Linked DNA regions of Pelodiscus sinensis. The main gene of each other region encodes a partner of the protein of the gene in region 2 in a complex. Links are inferred from orthologs where the notes say so. Each region holds a gene or a part of one and is shown on either strand. Other genes may lie near its edges. The genes, in order: ZMPSTE24, prelamin-A/C and BANF1.

Region 1 (7,616 bases), on a different chromosome or scaffold from region 2:
GGGGCGGGGCTGCCGGGCGGGAGTCTGGGGGCAGTGTGGCTGGCCCGGTGAGATGGGGTGGGAGGGCAGCTGGCTGGAGGAGATGGGGGGTTGGGGGCTGCGCGGCTGGCCGGGGGAGATCGGGATGAGGAGAACCGGCTGGCAGGAAGCAGGGGTGGCCGGGAAGGAGTCGGGGGGGGGAGGGGGGGGCAAATCGGCCAGCAGGGAGTGGGACTGACCCAGGCACATGCAGATGCCGGGGTGCCATCAGTCCTGCGCACAGTCCTGGCGAAGCGTGAGTCCAGCTGCGGCTCTACAACGCGCTCAAGAGCAGGGACAGGGCTTCCCCTCCCCAAGGCACCAAACTCAACCAGAGGCTCCTAGCACCGATCGTGCCCCACCTCCCAGCCATTCCCCGTGGCCCCACCATCCTTCCGTCTGGCACCCAGCTGGAAAACCAGAAAATACTGGACATTGCACATGTCCGGTATTTTCTGGAATTTTTTACCAGAGGGCCCAAAAACTGGACTGTCTGGTAGAATACCGGACACCCGGCAATCCTACCTGGGAGGCAATGGAGGGAGCCACAATGAAAGTGCGTCTTGCCTGGAGCCCAGCCAGGTTGGGGCTCCATGCACGAGTGTACGCATGGCGCTGGCAGCGAGGGGTCAGAGCCAGGCAATGCAGCCGTGCTTAAAGGGTCAGAGTGCTGTGAGCTCCCTACAGTGGAGGCACCGCCAGGCGAGACCCTCGCCCTTGCTGGAGCCCTGCATCATGGAGTGCAGCAGCATTTGGCAGGCAGGAAACTGAGGCACAACGTGAGGCAGAACCATGCGCCATCCCCCTGCGGCCAGTGGTGGAGTTGGGGCCAGAGCCCCTGACTGCGCTTCCCTGAGGTCAGTCTGCTTGGCCACACATAGCAAGGTCTGGCCAGGAATCCAATTCTTCCTGTCACAAACCTTCCCGGGGCACCCCTCTGTGGCAGTGTGCATGAGCCAGCTGGAGAACACCCTGGGCCTCTCTTGTGACAGGTCTCAGTGGCCCCAGCAGCAGGGGTTACTCATGGAAGCCACAGAACCCATCAGCAGCCCCCAGGGATCACCCCCAAATGGGGGGGAGGACTCCAGAGAGGGGAAGGGGGGACATCAGGGAAAAAGGGGTAGGGGCAGTGAGGGAAGGGGGAGGCACCAGGAGGGTGAAGGGGTAAGGGAAGGTGCAGGTGCCAGGGGATTCTGGGGGTGAAGCAGAAGGGCAGACACCTGCAGGGGAGGGACCAGCACCAGAAGAGAGAGGCAGGGCAGGTGTGTAGAGGGAGGTGTTAGGAGAAGGGATGAGGAGGGGTAGCTCACATGATCGGAGTGGGCATGGGGGGAGGAGAAGGGCTGGTGGAGGGGGGCAGGTCTCAAGAAGGCTGAGGGCAGTGAGAAGGGCAGGAGTCAGGACAGCAGAGGAAGGTGATGGGGGCTAATTTCGCTACGAAAATCAGGAAAGAGATCTTGGCATTATTGTGGACAGTTCTCTGAAAACTTCCACACAGTGTGCAGTGGCGGTCAAAAAGGCAAATAGGATGTTAGGAATTATTAAGAAAGGGATAGAAAATGAGACACAAAATATCTTACTGCCCCTGTATAAAACTCTGCTACGCCCACATCTTGAATACTGTGTACAGATGTGGTCTCCTGACCTCAAAAAAGATATTTCTGAAAGGGTTCAGAAAAGAGCAACTAAAATGATTAGGTGTTTGGAATGGGTCCCATATGAGGAGAGGCTAAAGAGACTGGGACTTTTCAGCTTAGAAAAGAGGAGTCGGAGGGGGGATATGATAGAGGTCTATAAAATCATGAGTGGTGTGGTAAGGGTGAATAAAGAAAAGTTATTTATTAGTTCCCATAATAGAAGAACCAGAGGACACCAAATTAATGGGTAGCAGTTTTAAAACTAATAAAAGAAAGTTCTTCTTCACACAGCGTGTAGTCAACCTGTGGAACTCCTTGCCAGAGGAGGCTGTGAAGGCTAGAACTATAACAGAGTTTAAAGAGAAGCTAGATAATTTCTTGGAGGTTAGGTCCATAAAAGGCTATTAGCTGGGGGATAGAAATGGTGTCCCTGGCCTCTGTTTGTCAGAGGCTGGAGAGGGCTGGCACGAGACAAATCGCTTGATCATTGTCTTTGGTCCACCCTCTCTGGGGCACCTGGTGCTGGCCAGTCAGCAGACAGGATACTGGGCTAGAAGGACCTTTGGTCTGACCCAGTACGGCCGTTCTTATGTTCTTAGGAAGTCCAGCAAAGAGCAACAAAAATGATTAAATGTCTAGAAAACACAATTTATGAGGGAAAGGCTGAAAGAACTTGGTCTGACCCAGTACGGCCATTCTTATGTTGGGAGCAGCAGGCACCAGGGGAGCTGATGGAGGAAGGGGAGGAGACATGGTAGCAGAGGGAAAAGGTCGAGGTTTATAAGACATTTATTAATAACTTGGGTGCCACAGTGGCACATCCAAACAAGCCACCTGAACTCAGTACTGGTGCCCAACACAACATTCATTCTGCTCGGGGAGGAAACCCTTGGAGGGAACACTCCCCCCCAACACACACTGGGTTAATGCAATTGCAGGACAGTTGCACAGAGGGTTTTGGTGGGGGATGAACTAATCCCTATTGGTAAGAGGATGGTGGGGAAGCCCTGGGGGAAGGGGCCCCATGACCCCTTTTACTGGCCACGTGTCCGTGTGGCCCGCGGGAGTCGGGGCGCGGCTAACGGTCAAGGCCCATTTTAAACGTTCTTCGGGCGCTCGCCAATGGTCCGCGCGCCCCCGCGGGGAGCCCTGCAGGCCCCTCCAGAAAGGCCCCGCCCCGCCGCCGAGTTCCGACCTGCCGCCGCGCCAGGAAGGCCTCCCACAGGTACACAGCCCAGGAGAAGAGCAGCACGGAGCAGAAGATCCGCTTCTCCACGGGCAGCCCGGCCCAGAGCGCCCCCAGCAACACCGCCATGGCGCAGGGCCCTCGTGCGCGAGGCAGCTTCCGGCCCGGCGTCCCAGCAAACCCGCCCCCCCGTTTCCGGCCCGGTGTCAGGGCGTAACCCGCCCTCCGACTTCCGGCCAAGCGTCACGGGAAAACGCGCTCTTCGGCTTCCGGCGCCGTAGCAAAACCTCCCTTCCCGCTTCCGGTTTGGCGCCACTGGAAATCCGGCGGGATGCGGCGCGGCGTCCCAGCAACCCTCGCCCTTCCGGCTCGGTGATGTCACAGGCCGTGTCGCTCTCGACCTGTCCCTGCGCGCTAAGAGATTTGCAGCGACACCGGGGAGGGGCTGCAGGCCGGGCCCTGCGGGGCGCGTGCCCCGTTCCGCGGCAGAGCCGGGGCTCGGCTTGGCAGCGCGCGCCGTGCAGGTTAGTTTTACCTCAGAGAACGCGCGACCGGCTGCTGCATTTCCTAACGGACGTTGCGGCAGATGTTCATGACGTCACTGGGCCAATAGGGTAATTGTGAGGAGCGGGAGGATTTTCTGGCCCTGCTGTGCCAGGAGCAGTTACCGGACACTGGAGCGCCCGGCCCGCGGGAGAGGCCGAGGCACTTGGGTCTGTTCAGTCCGCAGACGCGAAGCGCGAGGGGGGATTTGAGAGCAGCCTGCAGCTCCCTGCAGGGGGGTTCCCAACGGGATGGGGAGAGGCTGGTCTCAGTGGGGGCAGAACAAGGAGCAATGGGCTCAAGTTACAGTGGGGGAGATCTAGGCTGGATATTAGGCAAAACTATTTCCCTAGGCGGGTGGGGAAGCGCTGGGCTGGGTTCCCTAGGCAGGTGGTGGAATCTCCATCCCTAGAGGTTTTTAAGTCTCAAAACCCCGGCCGGGTTGATTTAGTTGGGATTGGTCCTGCTTTGGGCAGGGGGCTGGACTTGACGACCTCCTGAGAGCTCTTCCAGCTCCATGATTCTATGATACTTTATTAATTGATTTTATTCACTTTTAATCTGTTAAATCCCATTTCTTTAAATTGTTAAGTATAGGTGTGTTAATTCTAATTTAATCAATTAGTTTTATATTATTTATAATTGCTATTTTGGAGTTAGAGCTAGATTATTACTGGGATAATTTTATTTCTGGAGGCTCCTAAGGCACACCATTAAATGTGTACAGGGCCAGCCAGATGGAAGCACTGCCATTGAATATTCCTTTAGAAGTAAGGGACTGCAACAAAATGGGGTGGATAGAGAATCCTCAACCCAGCAAGTACTAGGCTACTCAGGATCTCCTTTTTTGTTAAAAACATCAGGCGCCCAGGCACATGTGAATGTGACCTGCTCCCAAGTAACCCAGGGAGGAAAAAGGGGTTACAGTTGTTTCTGGATGATGTAATCCCCCCCTTTTGCTAGTGATGGAAAGACTAGCATTGGCAGATAACTCTGAAACTATCGAAAATGATGATCTTGAAAATGGATAGTCTTGAGAATCCTGTATGTTGAGGATGGATTCTCATAAAAAGATAAGTTAATGCAGTTATTTAATTATTACCATGGACACAAATCAGATATCTGAAAAGGCAACACACAGAAACGTGTGAACACTTTAACCTGTCTGGGCACTCATTAATGGATCTCAAAGTCACCATGTTGTTTCAGGCCAATTCCACAAGCCAAATACCAGGGAATGGTTAACTTCATTTACAAGTTTGATTCCTATCAGAGAGGAATGAATAAAGATATTGGCTGGCTCACACAGTATCTTCCATGACTTAATGACTTAACCAACAAGAACAAACAATGGGTACTTATAGAGGTGCAAATTGTTCTTATCAGCCTCTTGTAACTTGAACAATCTAATTCACTATTTTTCTCTCTCTCCCTCCACCTCCCCCCCCCCACTCCACCTTCCCTTGTTTATTCTTGGATCTGGACTTTTAATACTCCAGTCATCTGAAGAAGTGGTTTGTGCCTATGAAAGCTCATGATACCATCTATATGTTTTGTTAGTCTTTAAAGTGTTACTAGATTGTTCGTTGTTTAAGTTTTGCTCATTTAGTATTACTCCTTGCATTAATTGACGATCGTACTAAGGATGTTAAGGATCGTGTAATTCACTAATCGAATAGTCGAATTTTTATATTGACTATTTGATTAGTTGATAGGGTGGCACTGTTCCTTTGAAACCCGCCACTGCGTTTCATAGTGGCAGCACCCCATGGTGCCTGGGATCCCGGGCTCTGTGCAGTGCTGCTGCTTTGAAGTACCCCTGTCTTCCCTCCCCTTGCTGCCTCTATCTGATAGAGGCAGCAAGAGAGGGCGTAGACTAGTCCTTAACATCCCTAGATGGTACTGCTTTAAAGTGAAATGGTAAAGGGAAAATTTGCTTATTTTATCTATTTTTTTTAGCACAACTGCATCAATAATGATAGTACCATAGAGTAACAACTTTTTTGCTCAAACATGAGAATTCAAGAATAGTCCAAAAGGAAGACAAGGCAGACCTTAAGAAAGAAGTATGAAATAAAAATTTACCAACCTCAAGATCCTTCATGTTCAGACATGTTCCTTTCATCATCTTCAACACAGCATCCTCCTGAGAAGGAACACTTCTCATGATGTTTCGTTCAGGCAATCAGTCCTTGCATATCTTTGTTGCAGTGTTTGCATTTTGCATGTATGCATGGCCTGTCTTACCCACAGGTTGAGGAATTTCATTAAAATATTCCCAAATTGGGTCTCTTATGGCCCGCTGCCATTATTGGGTTTTTCCCTTCTAGTAAGAGATGGTATGATAGATCTTATATCAATAAAAACTACATTCAGAAAGACCTCAAGACTTCTGGAACCTGCTGCTCAAACCATTACACGTTTGTTTCTACGCCTATCCCTCCCTTCTCATGTTTATCTCCATACTTTTCCTTCTCCAGGTCTATTCCACCTCAACCATCTACTATTCATTTAGCATTTTGAAACTTTGCAGTTTGAGAGGTAAGGGAATGAGTTTGTGTACACCAGTGGTCGCCAACCTTTTTAACCACAAGATCACGTTTTCAATATACAGGCAGTCCCCGGGTTACGTACAAGATAGGGACTGTGGGTTTGTTCTTAAGTTGAATTTCTATGTAAGTCGGAAGTGGTACATATTGTACCCCGGGTGTCCCCGATTCAGCCGCTGCTGAAACTGACCAGCGGCTAACTACAGGAAGCCCAAGGCAGAGCTGCTTTGCCCCGGGCTTCCTGGAATCAGCCGCTGATCAGTTTCAGTAGCAGCTGATTTGGGGATATCTGGGGTAGAGCAGCTGGGGTGCTGCCAGGTTGGTCCCCGCAGCACCGAGGTGCAGGGCTGCGGGGACCAACCCAGCAGCGCCCCAGCTGCTCTGTCCCAGGCGTCCACATTCAACCGCTGTTGAAACTGACCAGCAGCGGCTGAATCGGACATGCCTGGGGCAGAGCAACTGGAGTGCTGCTGGGTTGGTCTGGTAGCGCCGACCCTTGGCGCGGCGGGACCAACCCGGCAGCACCCCAGCTGCTCTACCCCAGGCGTCCTGATTCAGCCACTGCTGAAACTGACCAGCGGCGAGAAAAGCCTGGTCTGCTGGGAGGGCAGGGGAGGGGGGCGCACTAGCTGCGCCCCCCCCAGCAGACTAGGGAGATGCGGGCAGCGGGACCACCGAGACGCGCCGCGGTCCCGCTGCCCGCATCCTCCGTGGCTTTGCTCTGCGTCTCCCTGGTCTGCTGGGGGGGGTTCCCCCAGCAGACCAGGGAGACGCGGAGTGGCTTTTCTCGACGCGGAGGACGCGGGCGGCGGGACCGCGGTGCATCTCGGCGGTCCTGCCACCCGCGTCCTCCGCGGTGAGAAAAGCCCCGTTCGTAAGTAGGGATCCGACGTAAGTTGGATCCACGTAACCCAGGGACTGCCTGTATGTGCAATGTAAGATCTACCTCAAACCCAAATACCCTTGCCCCACTTCCTTCCCACTCCTTCTCTGAGGCCTCACCCCTGCTCATTCCATTCCCCTTCCTTCCCCATCCCCACTCACTTTCACCAGGCTGGGGTAGAGGGTTGGGCTGCTGGCTCTGGTCTTGGGTCAAGGGGTTTGGAGCATGGGAGGAGCTCCGGGCTTAGCCCATGGTGAAACATTGGGGTCCATGAGGGAATTCAAGGTCCAAACTCTGGGAAGGAGTTTGGGTGCAGGGTGACTCATGTCTGGGGCAGATGGTTGGGTTATGGATATAAGCAACTAGTTGACTACCTGATAAGCATAAGCTTATCGGATAGTCGAGTAGTGACTAAACTAGTCACTCTCCCCCCCCCTTGCTGCCTCTATCAGAGAGAGAAGCAGCAAAGGCGGAAGCACCATCTCTGGGGGGGGGGGGGGGGAGTGGGGAAACAGCATGAATGGGGATTGAAGCAGTTCCTGCTTGCACTGGTTCCCACTTCAGCCTTTGAAATGTACAAAAGCCCTGTGCTCTCTGATCCCTGCTGCCTATATGAGAGGTTTAAAATGCAGAGCCACAGGGCGGTTGGCTCCTGGAGCCAGCATGAGCCAGGACTGCACAGTCCCAGATCGAGCAGGATTCTGGAGCTATCCCTGCAGCGTGGTCCTATCGACTAATCATATAGTCGATAGAATTATTCAGGGGTGGGACAGGAACTCAGGAAGCAAGCTCTGGCTGGG
Region 2 (6,991 bases):
TGAGTTGGAGTGCTCGATAACAGGGTGAAATGTAATGCCGTGTCCTACTCACGGGGGTGGCCTTTCTGGCCATAAATGCTATGAATACGGCCCCTTTGCACCACACTGCCCTGGTGAGAAGCGGGTGGACGTGTAATTGAGACCCTTGTGTGGTTCTAGGATGGTGCAGAGGGGTCTCGGTGTAAAGGAGACTCCGCCCCAATCAATGAGTGATGGCACTGGCTGCTTTTGGCATCCTGATGCATGTACCAGCCTGCACCCGCTCTTGTTCCTGTCTTGTGCACTTGCCCCATGAATATACTGTCAGCTCTTGGTGCCACACTGACTCTCTCCTCCCCCGACAGGAATAGCTGCTTTCACACCCAGCAGGCACGCAACCCGGGAAGCTGCTTCTGCCAGCATGTCACCCCGCCAGCCTGTCTCACTCCTGCCCCAGAGGGACCCCCTCCAGGCGGGCGCATGCGAGGAGCTATTCTCCATGGTCCCCTCAGCACCAGGCCAAGGTGCCAATTAGTGCCACACCTTGTTTGTGAGTAATCCACCATGCAAAGGTTTTGTTTTAATGATCCTAGGGTGGCGGGGGGAGGGGGCTGGTTTCCTTTCCCACCCCCACTGCCCAGGACTGGGTGGCATGATCAGCTGTTCAAGTTCCCCTTTGCTGCTTGTATCTAATGCTCTGCACCCCCCACCGAGGTGTCTCACACCACTGAGTCTCCTTTAAAAGCTCAGCCAGCGAGCTTCATGCACCTTAATCCCTTAAGGTGGCCCACAACCCCTGTCACCCTAAACCCTGGGGTGAAAAGGAACTGGATAGGTACAGGACACTAGTAATAACTATGTAATAATGCACCTGCACCTCCTTACTCCGGGTATCCCTAATCCGTGGTACGGAGAAGGAGGCCGATCCCCACCAGCATGCAGCATGCTCCCGAGGCCTGGGAGTAGCAGGAGCACAGATCCACTTGTGCCCCTGGGAGCAGGGCACTGGGTAAGTGCACCAACTCATACCCAGAACCCACCATGTCCTCCCTGTAGGGTTGCCAGATACTTGCACAAAAAATCCAGAACATGGCGGGACAAAAATTGGTTCAACAACAAGAAAGGAAAAAAAAAAAAAAAAAAGGTTGCTGCGCCTTTAAATTCCTGTGCTTCTCGTTCCACCCACCCCTGCCCAGACACAGCAAGGGAAAAATGTCCCCACCAGTCTTCCATCTGAGAAACAGAAAATACAGGTATTTTCTGGGAGGTTTTACAGGACAGAAGACGCAATTACCAGACTGTCCAGGCGAAAACCGGACACCTGGCAACCCTACCTCCCTGGCCCGGCAACATCTTTAATCCGGCAGACCCTGTTTCCCAGGATTGCCAAATTAAAGAAGTTCAAGAATCTACAATATGCTACATTTGCATTGAGGGGGAAGGATGAAATTCAAGAAGGACAAAAGCAAAGTACTACACTTAGCAAGGAATAATCAATTGCTCAAATATCACATGGGAAGTGACTGCCAAGGAAGCGGTACTGCAGACCAGGGTCTCGGGATTATAGCGGATCACAAACTAAATACGAATCAACAATGGAACGCTGCTACCAAAAAAACCCCAAATCCCCAAACACCATTCTGGGATGCATTAGTAGGCATGTTGCAAGCAAGACATGAGAAGTAATTTTTCCCTCTACTCAGCATTCATAAGGCCTTAACTGGAGTCTTGTGCCCAGTTCTGGGCACTACATTTCAGGAAAGATGTGGACAAACAGGAGAAGGTCCAGAGAAGAGCAACAAAACCAATCAGAGAGTGATCAATTGTTCTTTTATCCACTGAGGATAGGACAAGAAGCAATGGACCTAAATCGCAAGCATGAGAGGTTTTGATTGGACATTAGGAAAACCTTCCCGTGGCAGGATAGTTAGGCACTAGAACACATGCCTACTGAGGCTGTGGAGGCTTTTTAGAGCATGTTAGACAAACATCAGCCAGACATGGTTTAAATCAGCAGCGGGCAAAAGCTTTGGATCTGATCCATCACAGTCCTCTGGGCTATCAATGTCCAACAGCCCAGGGAGAGTCTGAGGCAGGCTCCCTGCCGGCCGCGCCCCACCTGTGGCTCAAAGCAGCCAGCTGCTGGGGCCAGCCTGTGCGTCTCTGCACAGCACATGCCACATGGGAGAGGGGGAGAGAGGCTCTGCATGCTGCTCCCGCCCCCAGCACAATCCTTGCAGCTCCCATTGGCTGGAAGCCATGCTTGTGGAGGCAAGCGAGTGACGAAGCCCCTCCCCCCCACCAATGGCATGCCATACAGAGTCATGCATGGTCCTTTCTACACTCAGCCTTCATCCCAGACCTGCATCCCCTGCATAGAAAAATGTGGTTCTCGACCACTTACCAAAATCTTGGGATGCCCCCCCACCCATGAAAAGTTATTGCCCACCCTTGGTCTAGACAGTATTTAGTTCTGCCTCAGTGCAGGGGACTCGACTAGATCACCTACTCGGGTCCTTTCCAGCCCTGTATTGGTTTTCTCTGCTCCTTTGCTAGCTATGGCCCCATCCAGCCTCTCCACTGCTCCTTCCCAGTCGCTGTATTGAGCTGTCTTGAATTCACATCCCAGGCCGAATGTGTCTTTCCTAGACTCACTGGTCTCAGCATTTTACACTCACTTTGCACTGGTGTAAATGGTTATGCCAAGTTCAGAACAATGGAGAATCAGGCCCCATGGGACATCAGGTTCTAAATAGGAATAAATGTAAATTGCAGAATCGGAGACATAAAGAGACCTACTGATCCTAATCTCATGTGCAAGGCAAGCGGGAGTCAGGACTCCTGGGTTCTATTCCCAGCTCTGGGATGGGGGTTCAGCGGTCGTTTGAGCAGGGGCCTGGGTTTTATGCCCAGTTCCACCCAAACTGCCTTGCACAAAACAGCTCCATTTCCAACACCCTCCCTCATACAAAGCATCCCTCCCCCAGCCCTGCTGTGAGCCTACCTGCGATACAGAACTTGTACCACCATCTGGGACCACGGAGCTGGCATGAACTCTTCTACCAACAGCTGATGCTCTGTCTCAGTGCAGACCCCCATGGTCTCGGCAGCTGCTGGGTGTCTGTCTGGCCCCCATCCAACAGAAGCAGGAGGATCTGAGTTCTCTCTGCATGAGAGCAACCAGGACACGATGGGTATCTTCGCACCATCTCGCTGAAAATCTTTGTATCAGCGTCAAGCACCATCGTGGGTCCCAGGAATTGCTGGATGCTCCAAATTGCTGAGCATTTGCTCCTGGGATCTGCCTTCCCCTTTTGCAACAGAGCAGAAAATAGAAGGGAGACAGAAACACTCCGTTAAAAAGCTTGGAAGGCTCCCATACTAATTATGAACAAGAACATAGCGAACAGCAGCGGCTTGTGTTCCAGGATAGACATTGCACTTTTTTACTGTTATTTTTTATTATGAATTATTTCTGTTACAGTAGCACCACAGCACTCCACTTATGGATCAGGATCCCATAGCACAAGATGCTTATGAACACCAAACCAAAAGACTCTCTCCCTACACTACAAACTATCCTGCTAGGTATGATTATCTCCACTTCAGAGATGGGTAAACAAAGGCACAAAGCAGAGTTAGAAGCAGAACAAGGCATAGATCCAAGGAGTCCTGACTCCCCCTTGACTGCTCTAATCAATAGACCATGGTTTCCACACCAGGGCCAAAAATAGAACAAAGAGCCCCCAACCCCTATGCCTCATGTTCTAGCCACTACTTCCCACTGCTCTGGAGTAGGCCGGAAATGATTCGTAGATTCCAAGGCCAGAAGGGACCCAATATAACCATCTGGTCTGACCTCCTGGATAACATAGGCTCCAGAACTTCCCCAAAATAATTTCTAAAGCAAATCTTTTGGGAAAAAACCATCCCATCTCAATTTTTCAACAATGGAGAATCTACCATGACCCTGGATAAATTGTTCCAACGGATCATTGTTCTCACCATTACAAAATTACACCTTATTTCCACTCTGAATTTATCTAGTTTCCACTTCCAGCCATTGGATCGTGTTAGATCTTCCTCTGTTATTAAATATTTGTTCCCCACATAGATACTTGCAGACTGTGAGCAAGTCACCCCTTAACCCCCTCGCTTAGGCTGAGCTTTTTGTGTCTATCACCATGAAGCCTATTTTCTATTCCTTTAATCGTTCTCGTGGCTCTTCTCTGACCCCGCGCCAATTTATCAGCACTCTTCCCGAATTCTGGACACCAGAAGTGGACACAGTATTCCAGCAGTGCTTGCATGAGACAACAGAACCCCAAAGTCACCTTGTGTTGAACCTTAGACCACACTGTTTTATGGTGAATGCACAAAATCCTGAAACGAGGGATGTAAAAGGTTAACCGGTTACCTGGTAAGCATCATCCTAACCAGCATGCTTATTGGGTCAGCTGGTTAGCTGAGTAAATGTAATGTTTAACCGGTTAACTTTTTAAATGTTATTTTACACCCCTACTGAAACTAAAACAAAATCACCTTCCAAATGTCCCATGCTAAAACTTTCGGGAGGGGTTCCCCACTAGTCTGAGCCCTCCCTGCTCCCAACAGCCCCAGTACCGTTGCAGCATGTTCTGGAAACATGGATGAAATGTAGCAAAGTTATCCACGGGTGTGCATGTGTGTGGGGAAAGAGAAGCTGATACAAAGGCACAGGATTTTGTCAGCTGATTGCTCCCCCGTCCTGCAGATCCCAGAGTGGACCCCATGAGCTTTGGACATGCCCAGATGGTACAGCAATGGGTGTCTGTGACAGGCCAATGTCTGGCCCTTTGCCCTTAGCTGGCATCTTTTCCTCCCCCTGTATCCATGAGCAGCCCGAGGTGGGCTGCGGTAGCTGGCGCCCCAGGTGGAACACACGATCGGCGACCCCGCCTGCATGGCCGTCAATGGAGTGACGTCATCATCGGACGCCCGGACGCCCTGTGACATCATCATCGGGCGCCCTGGGCGCCCCATTGAAGGCAGTGCCCTAGGTGATGGCCAGGTTGGCCTATAGTCACAGGCCACCCCTGCCTGTATCTGAGGTTTCGCATGGACACAGCGGAGCCCCAGCATTCTGAAAGGGCCAGTTCACACCCAACCGGTCGGCATTTTTGGGGAGCAGGGAGCTTGTCTGTTTTATGTGTCTGAAAATTTACCGTCATCCTTACGTTGTGATGGAATCACATACAGAAACAGCAAACACTAACTAAAATGATTAATTAAATAATAATGACCCAAATAATTAATAATTGGTTAAAAATAGAAATAATGGCAAATAGGAACATATTTAGCAGCAGCAGCAGCCAGAGATCGGCTCATCTGGTGCAGGGATGTGCATGCTGGGGCAGAATGGCACATCCAAACGGGAGCATAGGGGCAGGGTGGCCGCTGCCCACCCTCAGAGCCTTTGAAGGCCAGAGAGTAGCAGGAATCAGAAGGGATTGGTGTTCCATGTAAGCTGGGCATTTGTGTGGCTACTCAGGAGAGATTCAAATGCTGCCCAGCTGATTAGCAGAGCTCCCACATCTGGGTTTTTTATTATAGTGGTGGTGCACATGGCCTCGGTGCACATAATATTTATACCACACCTGGATGGAAAAAGTCTGCACGTGGCTGAAAAAGATGGAAGGGAACATTGGAAGGAATCAGACATTTATCTGGATAATAAGAACATTTAGATTCATCCCCGGCTGGACTCAACTCAGGGCCTGATTCTACCTTGCCCAGAGTCTTGCACGGTCACTGACATTAGTGCAAAGTGAGTGTGAAATGCACTGGCGTAAATGACTGGGAGATACAAAGAATTAGAGAAGGGTTGAAAATCTTGCTGCGTCAGGGCATAAACCAACCTCTAACTAGGGATGTAAAGGGTTAACTGGTTACTGGGTAAGCATGACCCTTACTGGCATGCTTACCAGGGTAAACAATTAACTGGTGGGGGGCTGCTCCGGCTGAGCCTGGCCTGGCTGGAGCAGCCCATGATTCCGTGGGCTTGCTCAGGCTGCAGAAGCCCTGGCCAGGCTAGAGTAGCCCCTGGCGCACGATCACGGTGAACCCATTAAAACATTAAGTTTAACCAGCTAACTTTTTAACCAGGATTTTACATCCCTTCCTCTAACAGGTGGGGTCAAGAGGAAGCCTCCCCTCAGGCCATGTCACCCCAGAGGCGAAGGGGTTCTTACACCTTCTGCTGCCGAGGTCCAGGATATTGGGCTAGGCAGGCAGACCCCAAGTCTAACAGAATGGTAACTCGTATGTTCTGGGCTCTCCCAGCAGTTAAACCTGTTTTGCTAATTGCCCCACTCCCCACTGACATCCGAGACACATCAGGCCCATTTGCTTTCCATTTCCCCAATGATCAGCAATAAGCTCTGAAATTGGAGAGTCTGCTGCCGCTGTGACTAGCCCATGAAATATATCCATTGTGTTGGCCCCTTGGCCGGTTGTAAATGAGAGAGGGGGGAGCTCTGGGGACACATCCCAGCCCTGCTCCTGATAGAAAGTGGGGCAGGGGAATTTCCCAGGAAGCTGCATGCTGTAACTGCTGGCTTGATCTGCCTGGAACAAAATGCTTTCAAACAATTCTCTCCCTTCGATAAATGGCTTAGACTTTTCAAGCATTAGGTAACTTCCATTGGAATCCTCGTTAATGTAGCTACACATCTATGAGTAGCAGACAGTACCGGTTTGGTCAACTTAATGCTTCCTCTGTACTTACACACACACACACTCTGCATCACAAGCTTTCAAATACACGTACACGAGATACATAATTTGAACGCATGTCTTCTAAAAGGAGGTATGATGTGAAGTTCTCAAGTGATTACCCTAGAAACAAGGGTAAACAATGACCCCACCAAGATGTCCAATAGACCACTTTGAAATAGTCACATTTGTTCCAGTATGTTCAATGACTCTGGATTATTTCAAGACATAAAATTAGATTTCTTTGTGACCTCAGCAC
Region 3 (7,937 bases), on a different chromosome or scaffold from region 2:
AGTCTGCCTAAGGATTGTAAGAAGTGGGTAACCGATAGTTGCTTATTTAACTGGTTAAACATTAAGTTAACCAGTTAAACATTAGGTTAACTGATTAATGGTGATTATACATCCCTCGCATGCATGCAATTAACTATATTTATCCAATAGTTGATACAATTTGTACTGACTACACGATTAGTCGATAAGGGGAGGCAGTCAGTCACGGCTCACACCAGGTCCCGGAGCTAACCCTGCTGTGGCTCTGCAGTTTAAATATAGTAAGAGCCAGGAATGCAGGCAGCCTGGCAGCTGCTACTACATTTAAACTGCAGAGCTGCAGCGGGGGTAATTCTCAGAGCCAGTGAGAGCCAGGACTGAGCAGTCCCAGCTCGTGCTGGCTCCAGGACTGCTGTGGATCTACCTCCACCCCCTGCCCCCCCCTCACACACACCACGGAGACTGTGCTGGGGGGAACTTGCTTTTAAGATGGCTTCCTCCCCAACTTGATGCCTCTGATATAGGAAGCAAGTAGTCAAGTGGTCAATTGACTATCCAATAGTACTTGACTAGTCACTTACATCCCTAGCTTGGCCTGGTGTGGGAACAGGAGCTCCTTGGGCTGGGGGCTGCTCCAGCTGGGCTGGAATAGTCTCCAACCTGAGACGCTGCTTATTTAACTGGTTAAACATTAAGTTAACCAGTTAAACATTAGGTTAACTGATTAATGCTGATTATACATCCCTCGCATGCATGCAATTAACTGTTCTTTCCTAAGTGGAGTACTTTATATTTATCCATATTGAATTACATACTATTTACTTCAGACTATTCCTCCAGTTTATCTAGATCATTTTGAATTTTAATCCTATCTTCCAAAGCACTGGCAATGCCCCCCAGATTGGTATGGCCTACAAATTTCCAGTTTTCCAGTCAACTACGCACCCACTTTGTAGTAGCGCTATCCAAATTGTAATTCTCTAGTTTATGAAAATGTCATGTGAAATATATCAAAAGTCCGACTGAAGTCAAGATACACCACATCTACTGCTTATCCTCAATCCACAAGGATTGTTACACTCTCAGAAGAAACTAGTAGTTTAATTTGACTCTGTATGTTCTTGACAAATACATTCTGCTACTGGTGCTCCCTGTAAACTGGAAGCTTGTGCGGGCGCAACTGATTAGCAGAAAGCCCATTGCTAGGTTTGTGTTTCTTACTTCCTTGATGCACATAAAAATGATTCCATACATGAATTAGGGATGTTAAGGACTAGTCGACGATCCGATAAGCAAATGCTTATCGGATCATCGACTAGTCGCTTCCCCCTTCCCTTGCTGCCTCTATCAAATCCTTTCGTTTCTACTACACCGAGTTGCTTCTGGGGTCATGGAGTCAGAGCTGCCTTGCTCACTCTGGGTGTACAAGTCTTCCTCAGGCATCCAATTCAAGTGGACTCACTGGAGGGGAGCTCAAAGGTTCAGCAGGATTGCTGACTGCTCTGAGGTCTAGTTCCAAGAGGCAGCAAAGTCAAGGGGCTTACACCAGTGAGTATGTGAGGTCCTAAAGGGACCTAAAAGGGCCCAGAGCAGTAAAGAGCATCGAGCCCATGGATCTGTGACACCCCCAACAAAGACCCCTGAATTCCCTACTTTCTGCAGAACATCCAGTCTCAGTGATGATTTCATTCCTTCCATGTGCACCCTCAGCCCTAGCCTTACATCCAAATACCAACAAACCCCTTGCACAGACTCTGCAGCCATTCTCTCCATCCCTCCCAAAAGACGCCTTTTTTCCAGGCATCCTCAGCCCTTTTAGATCCTGCACTTGGCACGTCTTCACCAGATAAAGCTTCCTTTATACATATCCTCACCCTCCCTTCCCGTGTCCTAGCACTCAACCCAACTGCCTACCTCCCAGACCTTCTTTCCACACATTCAGCAACACCTTCCACTACCTTGTTCCCATCCCAATCTTTGTCAGACAATTTCCAACCCCCAAGAGGTACCACTCATCACTACAGGTACTCCCAGCATTCCCAGACACACCAGCTATATACCACCAATCCCTCTCTTATCACCAGAAGTCCTAACTCATCACACCTGCCCAACAACCTGAGCACTATCCTTTACCAAAAAAAAAAAAAAAAACCCCACACACCCTAGTTTCAGGCTTCCACTCTACTTTTCCTTTCCCCACAATGTAGCCCAGCAGATAGAGCAGTGAACTAAACTCAAAAAGACTTGGGTTCTATTCCCAGCTCCAGCAGCTGACCTCAGCTTCCCAATCGCTAAAATGGACAATACTAACTCACCTTTACACCTCTTGAGAGCTACTAACGAGCAGAGTTAAGTAATGATTACTACCAGCACTAGCTAACAACTTCCCCAGGCCCATATCCCCAGCCCCACCTCCTAGAGATCTCCCCTCCCTATGGGTAAGGCCAGACCTCCCACTAGGAACCATCCTTGCAGAAGCCCCCCCCCCGAACACTCCAATCCCTTCCTCGGGCATCCTCAGCCAACCTCCCTCCCCCCTCTTCTCCCCAATTCATCCCACCCTAAATCACACCAGGATATACCCAGCCCTTCCCCGCGCTCCTCTCCGCCCCCCCCGGCCGCGCCCTCGCAGACACATGCCCAGCTACCGCCCGCCCTCCCCAGAGGCCCCTGAGCGCTCCCCGAACTGCTCCTTCCCCCACGCCTCAGGTTCCCCCACTGGCCCGTTCCCGCCCTCAGCCGCCTTCATCCTGCCCGAGGCCCGCGTCCGACACCGCAGCGACCCACCAGCTCCGCTCGCTGCTGCAGCGCCTCAAACACCGCCGCTCCCGCCCAACCGGCCACCCACTGCGCCTGCGCAAACACCACTTCCGCTTCCAGGCCACGCCAGCACGCGCTCCTCTTCGCGCCCCATATAACCATAGAGAGTAGGCGGCGCTCTATAATGCTCTAGTCCCAGCCAGGAGCGATCCACATCTGCTCTATGATTCCCAACGGCTCTGGGCCGCTCCAGCCACCTTTGGATGATAGAGTTCAGCATCTACACTCTAGGCAACTGAAAACTCTGTGATACCAACTCATCCTCCCGGTCACAGTAACCGACGGCGCGAGGCAGCCTCTGACGCTGCCTGTGGTCCGCGACAACCCCTCCATCCCATAATAATAGCCCTGCCCGCGGGGCTGCCTCGGGAGCCCAAGGAGAGCATCAGGGGACATCATGGTGGGGGGAGGGGCTCCCGGAAGTGAGACAGGAAGCGCCCGGAACACCCGGAAGTTTACGCTGAAAGGTTTGGGGGAGGTTCAGGACTTGGAGCCGGAAGCGGGTGACTCCGTCCCATGTGCAGAGAGGTAGGGACGGGAGGCGGCAGCCCCTCACCCCCCCCCCCCCAGTCCAGCCCCTAGGAGCAGCGGCAGTTTTCTCCCCCGGCCAATGAGCGGAACAGGGAACTCCCGGGGGCGTGCAGGGCAAGGCGCTCCCTGCCCCCAGCACGGCGACATGGACTAGCCCGAGAGGGGATCTGGCCGTCACAGCTGGGCGGGGAGGTGGAGAATCCAATGGGATTAATCCCACCCTGGGGGAGCGGAGCCCGACCCCTGGGTTCCATTGTAGCTCTGGGAGAGGCCTGGGGGCTTGAAGCGTAGGGCAGGACTGCAGTGAGTCTCAGCACGGACTGGCATCTTCTTATATGAGGAAACTGAGTCACGGAGCTGACAGATTTACTCGACCCCAACACATCTGTCTCCAGTTGCAAGGAAGCCATAACAGGGTTAAGGCACAAAGTGACATTGGATCAATCTCTTTTTTTTGTTTCCATGATCTCCTATAGGATCTTTGTTTCATTCTGTGATGTAGATGAGATTTTACCTGGGAAGTTAATGCAGCCCTAAAGAATTAACTTTCTCATGCAAATCATCAGTAGAATTGCCTGAATGTTATTCTGTTATAATGTGTCTGTTCCTCAGTTTCACCTCCCACTGTTTGCCTGTGTGGTCCCTTCTCCTCTCCCTGCATCAGTTCCTTATTGACAATCCTTACCTCCTTGTGTTAAAACACTTTCAGATTCACAGCTAAAAAATTTTCAGTGGAATTCTTACTGTGGGAGACAATGTGTGGAGTTTGGCCTGAAAATTTCCAGCAGAATAGAGGAATCTTGAAGCTACCTCATTCCCTGGGTAAGGGAGTCTCAGTCCATTTCCACAAGCCATAAAATTGTCTTTGTTCCTAGAGTATCCAGTGCCAGTGAATGCCTCCAAGAGTGAATTCAGCGCTGGATCCTCAGCTGTCAGAGACGGACAGCCTCTCTTTATCCTCCACACAGGTACTGGTACTCCTGGCTTCCTCTGAGAGAAATCTATGCCCCCATTTTAAGTGGAGTAGATAAGACAAATGGGGAATCTCTAATAAACCTGATAACAAGGGGTTGTTCTTGATGACTAGGAAGTATGGTCTAATGAGCAAGGCACTGGCCTGGGATCCAGAGATCCTTGGGTTCTATTCTGCCTCATTTTCTCCTTCAGCCATTTGTTTGTTTAGACAGTGAGCTTCTTAGGGCATGGACTGTCTTAGTGTGTGTCCATGCAACGCCTGACACAGTGAGACCCTGATCTCAGTAAGGGGGCTGACAGGTACTCTGTGTGCACATGGTATTGGGTACTGTACAGACTGATGCCATCATGCCAGGGGGTACACAGACTCTTGGAGGTAGTCCCTGCCCCACACAGCTTGTACTCCATCTAGACAGAAGGGCTACGTCTAGACTGGCCCCTTCTTCCGAAGAGGCATGCTAATTTCGAACTTTGGAATAGGGAAATCTGCGGGGGATTTAAATAAACATGGCCGCCGCTTTTTTTTCCGGGTTGGGGAAAAGCTGGAAAAGAGCGTCCAGACTGGCGCAATCCTCCGGAATAAAGCCCTATTCCGGAGGATCTCTTATTCCTACTTCCAAAGTTCGAAATTAGCATGCCTCTTCCGAAGAAGGGGCCAGTCTAGATGTAGCCAAGTGGTATGTATGGGAAAATGGAGTGAGTGGCAAAAGGACTGGACCAAAGACAGCAGCAGAGCATGCAACAGAACCCAGCTATCCTGGCTCCTACTCCAGGACCCTGCTCACTGGGGGGACTTTTTGCCTTTAGAAGCTTATTTGATCTTGGGGAGATGCAACAAGGCTCTTCTCCCTCTGTTCCTTCTCTTCGGCTAGCCTTCCAGAGCAAGTGTGCCTTCCAGCTATTCACCACTTCACCTGCCCTGTGAGGATCCTGTTCCTGAGGGCTAACTCACCAGGATGTCCCAAGCAACCAAACGCAAGCATGTGGTGAAAGAAGTGTTGGAGGAGTATGTGGTTCCATCTCCTCAACAGCAGATTGTCCGGGTGAGGAAGGAAGTAGCCCTCTTTGCTGGGCTCCACTGGGACTTTTCACTTTCCTCTGCAGCATGAGGTTTGGGTTGCTGGGAAGCATCTGGATATGTCTCACCTAAGCTATTCTTGCCATCCCACCCCTCACGCTCTGAGCTTCAGCAGAAGGCAAGAAAATCCCTGAATACATCTGTTTAGTTGCGTATTAGGGTACATCTTGACTGCAGGGGTTTTCCAGGATACCCTGGAAAAACTCTGCCGTGTCCAGGGAACGCAGTTGCTCTTCCACTTTTTTTGCAGAAGACCAAATGCACTCTTTTGGGGAGTCCTGTATATCTCGTTCTAGAAGGAATAAGGTCTCCTCTGAAAGAGGCCGCTTTTCCGCCATTTGGCCCCTTCTTGACTGGGCCAGATGGTGGAAAAGCCTCTTCTGGAAAACCAATTGGAAAAAGCGACACAAATTGCGGAGTACAATTTGTGTAGCTTTTTCCCGGAAAAAAAAAAAGCTATGGTGTAGACCTAGCCTTAGGGAGGAAAACCTGTTCATGCTCCTTGCAGATGAGTGCACTCCAAGCTCATGCATCAGGAGTTCCCCATTGGCTTGCTGCAGAGCTGCTAGTGGCATGAGCAAGGCAGAACAGGTGGAGTGTGAGCCATCTAAAAGCCATACATGGGTAGTAGATTTCAAAGCCAGAAGGTGATCAGCCTGATCATCGAATCTGACCTCCCATGTAAGTCAGATTGTGGAATACTCCTCCCTGCCAATCCTGCATCCAGCCCATCTCTGGTGGTTGAGCTAGAGTGTCACTTTGAGGCAGGCTCTGATCTGTAGGTGCTAAGTGCTGGAGAATCCATTTCTCCAGGAAGCAGTTTCTGTGGTTAATCCCCCTTCCTATCAATTTGTTCCTCCCTCCAGGTCCTAGGGACCCCAGGAAACAACCTCCATGAGGTAGAAACGGCCGAGGGAACCAGATTCTTAGTGAGCATGCCCACAAAGTTCCGCAAGAACATCTGGATCAAACGAGGTGAGTACAGTGCAACTAGGTTCATGGCACCCCTAGAGGGGAAAGGCCCCATATGCCCCCTCCCCTGAACACCATTTAGAGTAGGAGTACTACTATCCACCAGGGGTGGATGAGTGCACCGCGGGCAGCACAATTTCACGGGGGCCCCCCCTTTGACATGGCGCATGCGCGGAGCCCAAGGCAGCCGCCCCACTTGCTCTGCCCTAAATCCACCGCTGCTATCCATGAGTTCCCCCTACCCCGGGGCTAGCTGAGATCTAGCACCCTCCTAGAGGGAAGAGGCCCAGTACCACATTCTCCATCTCCTAAAAATCAGCCAACCCTCCTTCCCACCGACACACTGTGTCTCTATCATTGCAGGGGACTTTCTGCTGGTGGACCCTATTGAAGAGGGTGAGAAAGTGAAGGCTGAGATCAACTTTGTGTTATACAAGGACCACATGCGATACCTAAAGAAAGAAGGGCTCTGGTAAGAGTCGGACATGGGGGAGGATGCTGAACTACAAGCTCCTAAAGTCCCTGCTCTTGCCTGCCACCAAGGTGCTGGAGAAAGTGTTAGTGAGGATTGGCATTGGCTTGAGTGTCCTTCCTGAAGCTGAGATTTCCATCACACATGAGCTGTAGGAATAGATGCAAAGCAGTCAGCTTGGGGAGGAGGGTAGCTCCATGGTGCAAATGGGGCAGTAAATCTCTAGCAGGGAAACCTGTGCTTTGATGCTGTTGGTATTCAGTTGGGGGCTGGTATGACTGTTGCTGGAACCATGGGGCCCCAATTCAAGGAACATTTTGATAAATTAGAGAGGTCAGAGAAGAGCCACAAGAAAAAGAGGACCGGTGACAGAACTCAACCTTAGCTTAGGGGGTAACTTGATCCCAGGCTATCCCCACCTGCCATGGGAACAGAAATTTGACAACAGGCTCTACAATCTAGCAGACAAACATCAAACAAGGCAACTGGCAACCGAAATTAAACAGTCATACTGGAAGGCAGAGGATTCACTGGAACTGAGCAGTGGCTCAGGTGGATTCTACCATGCTGGCAGTTTTTAAATGCAGTTTGGAAAGATTTAATCTAGTTTGAAAAGGAATTAATTCAGGGCATCCTGGAGCCTGTTACACAGGACTTAGATTACACATGATCCCAGCACCTTCTGCTCACTTGATTTACAACCCTTACTAGGAGGGAGGCAGGGACAGAATAGAGGGAGTTTTTCTTCCTAAAAAACTTTTGAAAATATGGCTGAAAACATGTCTCAGGTTCTAGTTTAACTGAGAAGCTTGGAAAACACTGTCATAGGAGGTTTTCCCATGAGTTTGGGTTTTGGTGGAAAAAGGTCTGTGCTGGCTGAAATAGTCACATGCCCTGGGCAGGGGCTGGAGTGAAGAGGAAAGGCCCCATATTTTATTCCCTAAAACCCTCCCTAGAGGGGAAAGTGTCCCATTCCCTAAGCTATTGCCTCAAAGCCAGGGCTGCTCTCTCATCTCATGTCTTTCTCCTCCCCACAGGCCTGAGGCCTTCTCCTCTGACACTGCAGAAAGTCAGCCCAGCTCTGAGGCGAGGTGAGTATGAAAGGAGTGG

The links.
Region 1: the proteins of prelamin-A/C (region 2) and ZMPSTE24 are in contact, whole or in part, in a crystal structure (PDB 2YPT), measured with the Homo sapiens proteins. The link is inferred for Pelodiscus sinensis from reciprocal best matches to the Homo sapiens genes LMNA and ZMPSTE24. Residues at the interface, in NP_001393912.1 of Homo sapiens: Cys661, Ser662, Ile663, Met664; in NP_005848.2 of Homo sapiens: Ser264, Asn265, Ala266, Tyr267, Phe268, Val332, His335, His339, Glu415, Leu438, Asn439, Asn442, His459, Arg465.
Region 3: the proteins of prelamin-A/C (region 2) and BANF1 are in contact, whole or in part, in a crystal structure (PDB 6GHD), measured with the Homo sapiens proteins. The link is inferred for Pelodiscus sinensis from reciprocal best matches to the Homo sapiens genes LMNA and BANF1. Residues at the interface, in NP_001393912.1 of Homo sapiens: Ser431, Gln432, His433, Ala434, Arg435, Met540, Lys542; in NP_001137457.1 of Homo sapiens: Val11, Ala12, Glu13, Pro14, Glu83, Asp86, Ala87, Phe88.

Annotation. Positions count from the first base shown.
Region 1 is NC_134735.1:23,629,950-23,637,565, forward strand, and holds the start of ZMPSTE24 (CAAX prenyl protease 1 homolog), read right to left. Parts: upstream 3,042-7,616; 5' UTR 2,971-3,041; coding exon 2,851-2,970; intron 1-2,850. UniProt on the Homo sapiens protein: Transmembrane metalloprotease whose catalytic activity is critical for processing lamin A/LMNA on the inner nuclear membrane and clearing clogged translocons on the endoplasmic reticulum.
Region 2 is NC_134734.1:16,695,253-16,702,243, forward strand, and holds the start of prelamin-A/C, read right to left. Parts: upstream 3,002-6,991; 5' UTR 2,984-3,001; intron 1-2,983.
Region 3 is NC_134721.1:33,018,384-33,026,320, forward strand, and holds the start of BANF1 (barrier-to-autointegration factor), read right to left. Parts: upstream 3,076-7,937; 5' UTR 3,061-3,075; coding exon 3,057-3,060; intron 2,912-3,056; exon of another isoform or gene 2,767-2,911; intron 1-2,766. Other genes in the region: putative RNA-binding protein EIF1AD, read left to right, coding at 5,262-5,348, 6,250-6,358, 6,719-6,827, 7,865-7,918. UniProt on the Homo sapiens protein: Non-specific DNA-binding protein that plays key roles in mitotic nuclear reassembly, chromatin organization, DNA damage response, gene expression and intrinsic immunity against foreign DNA.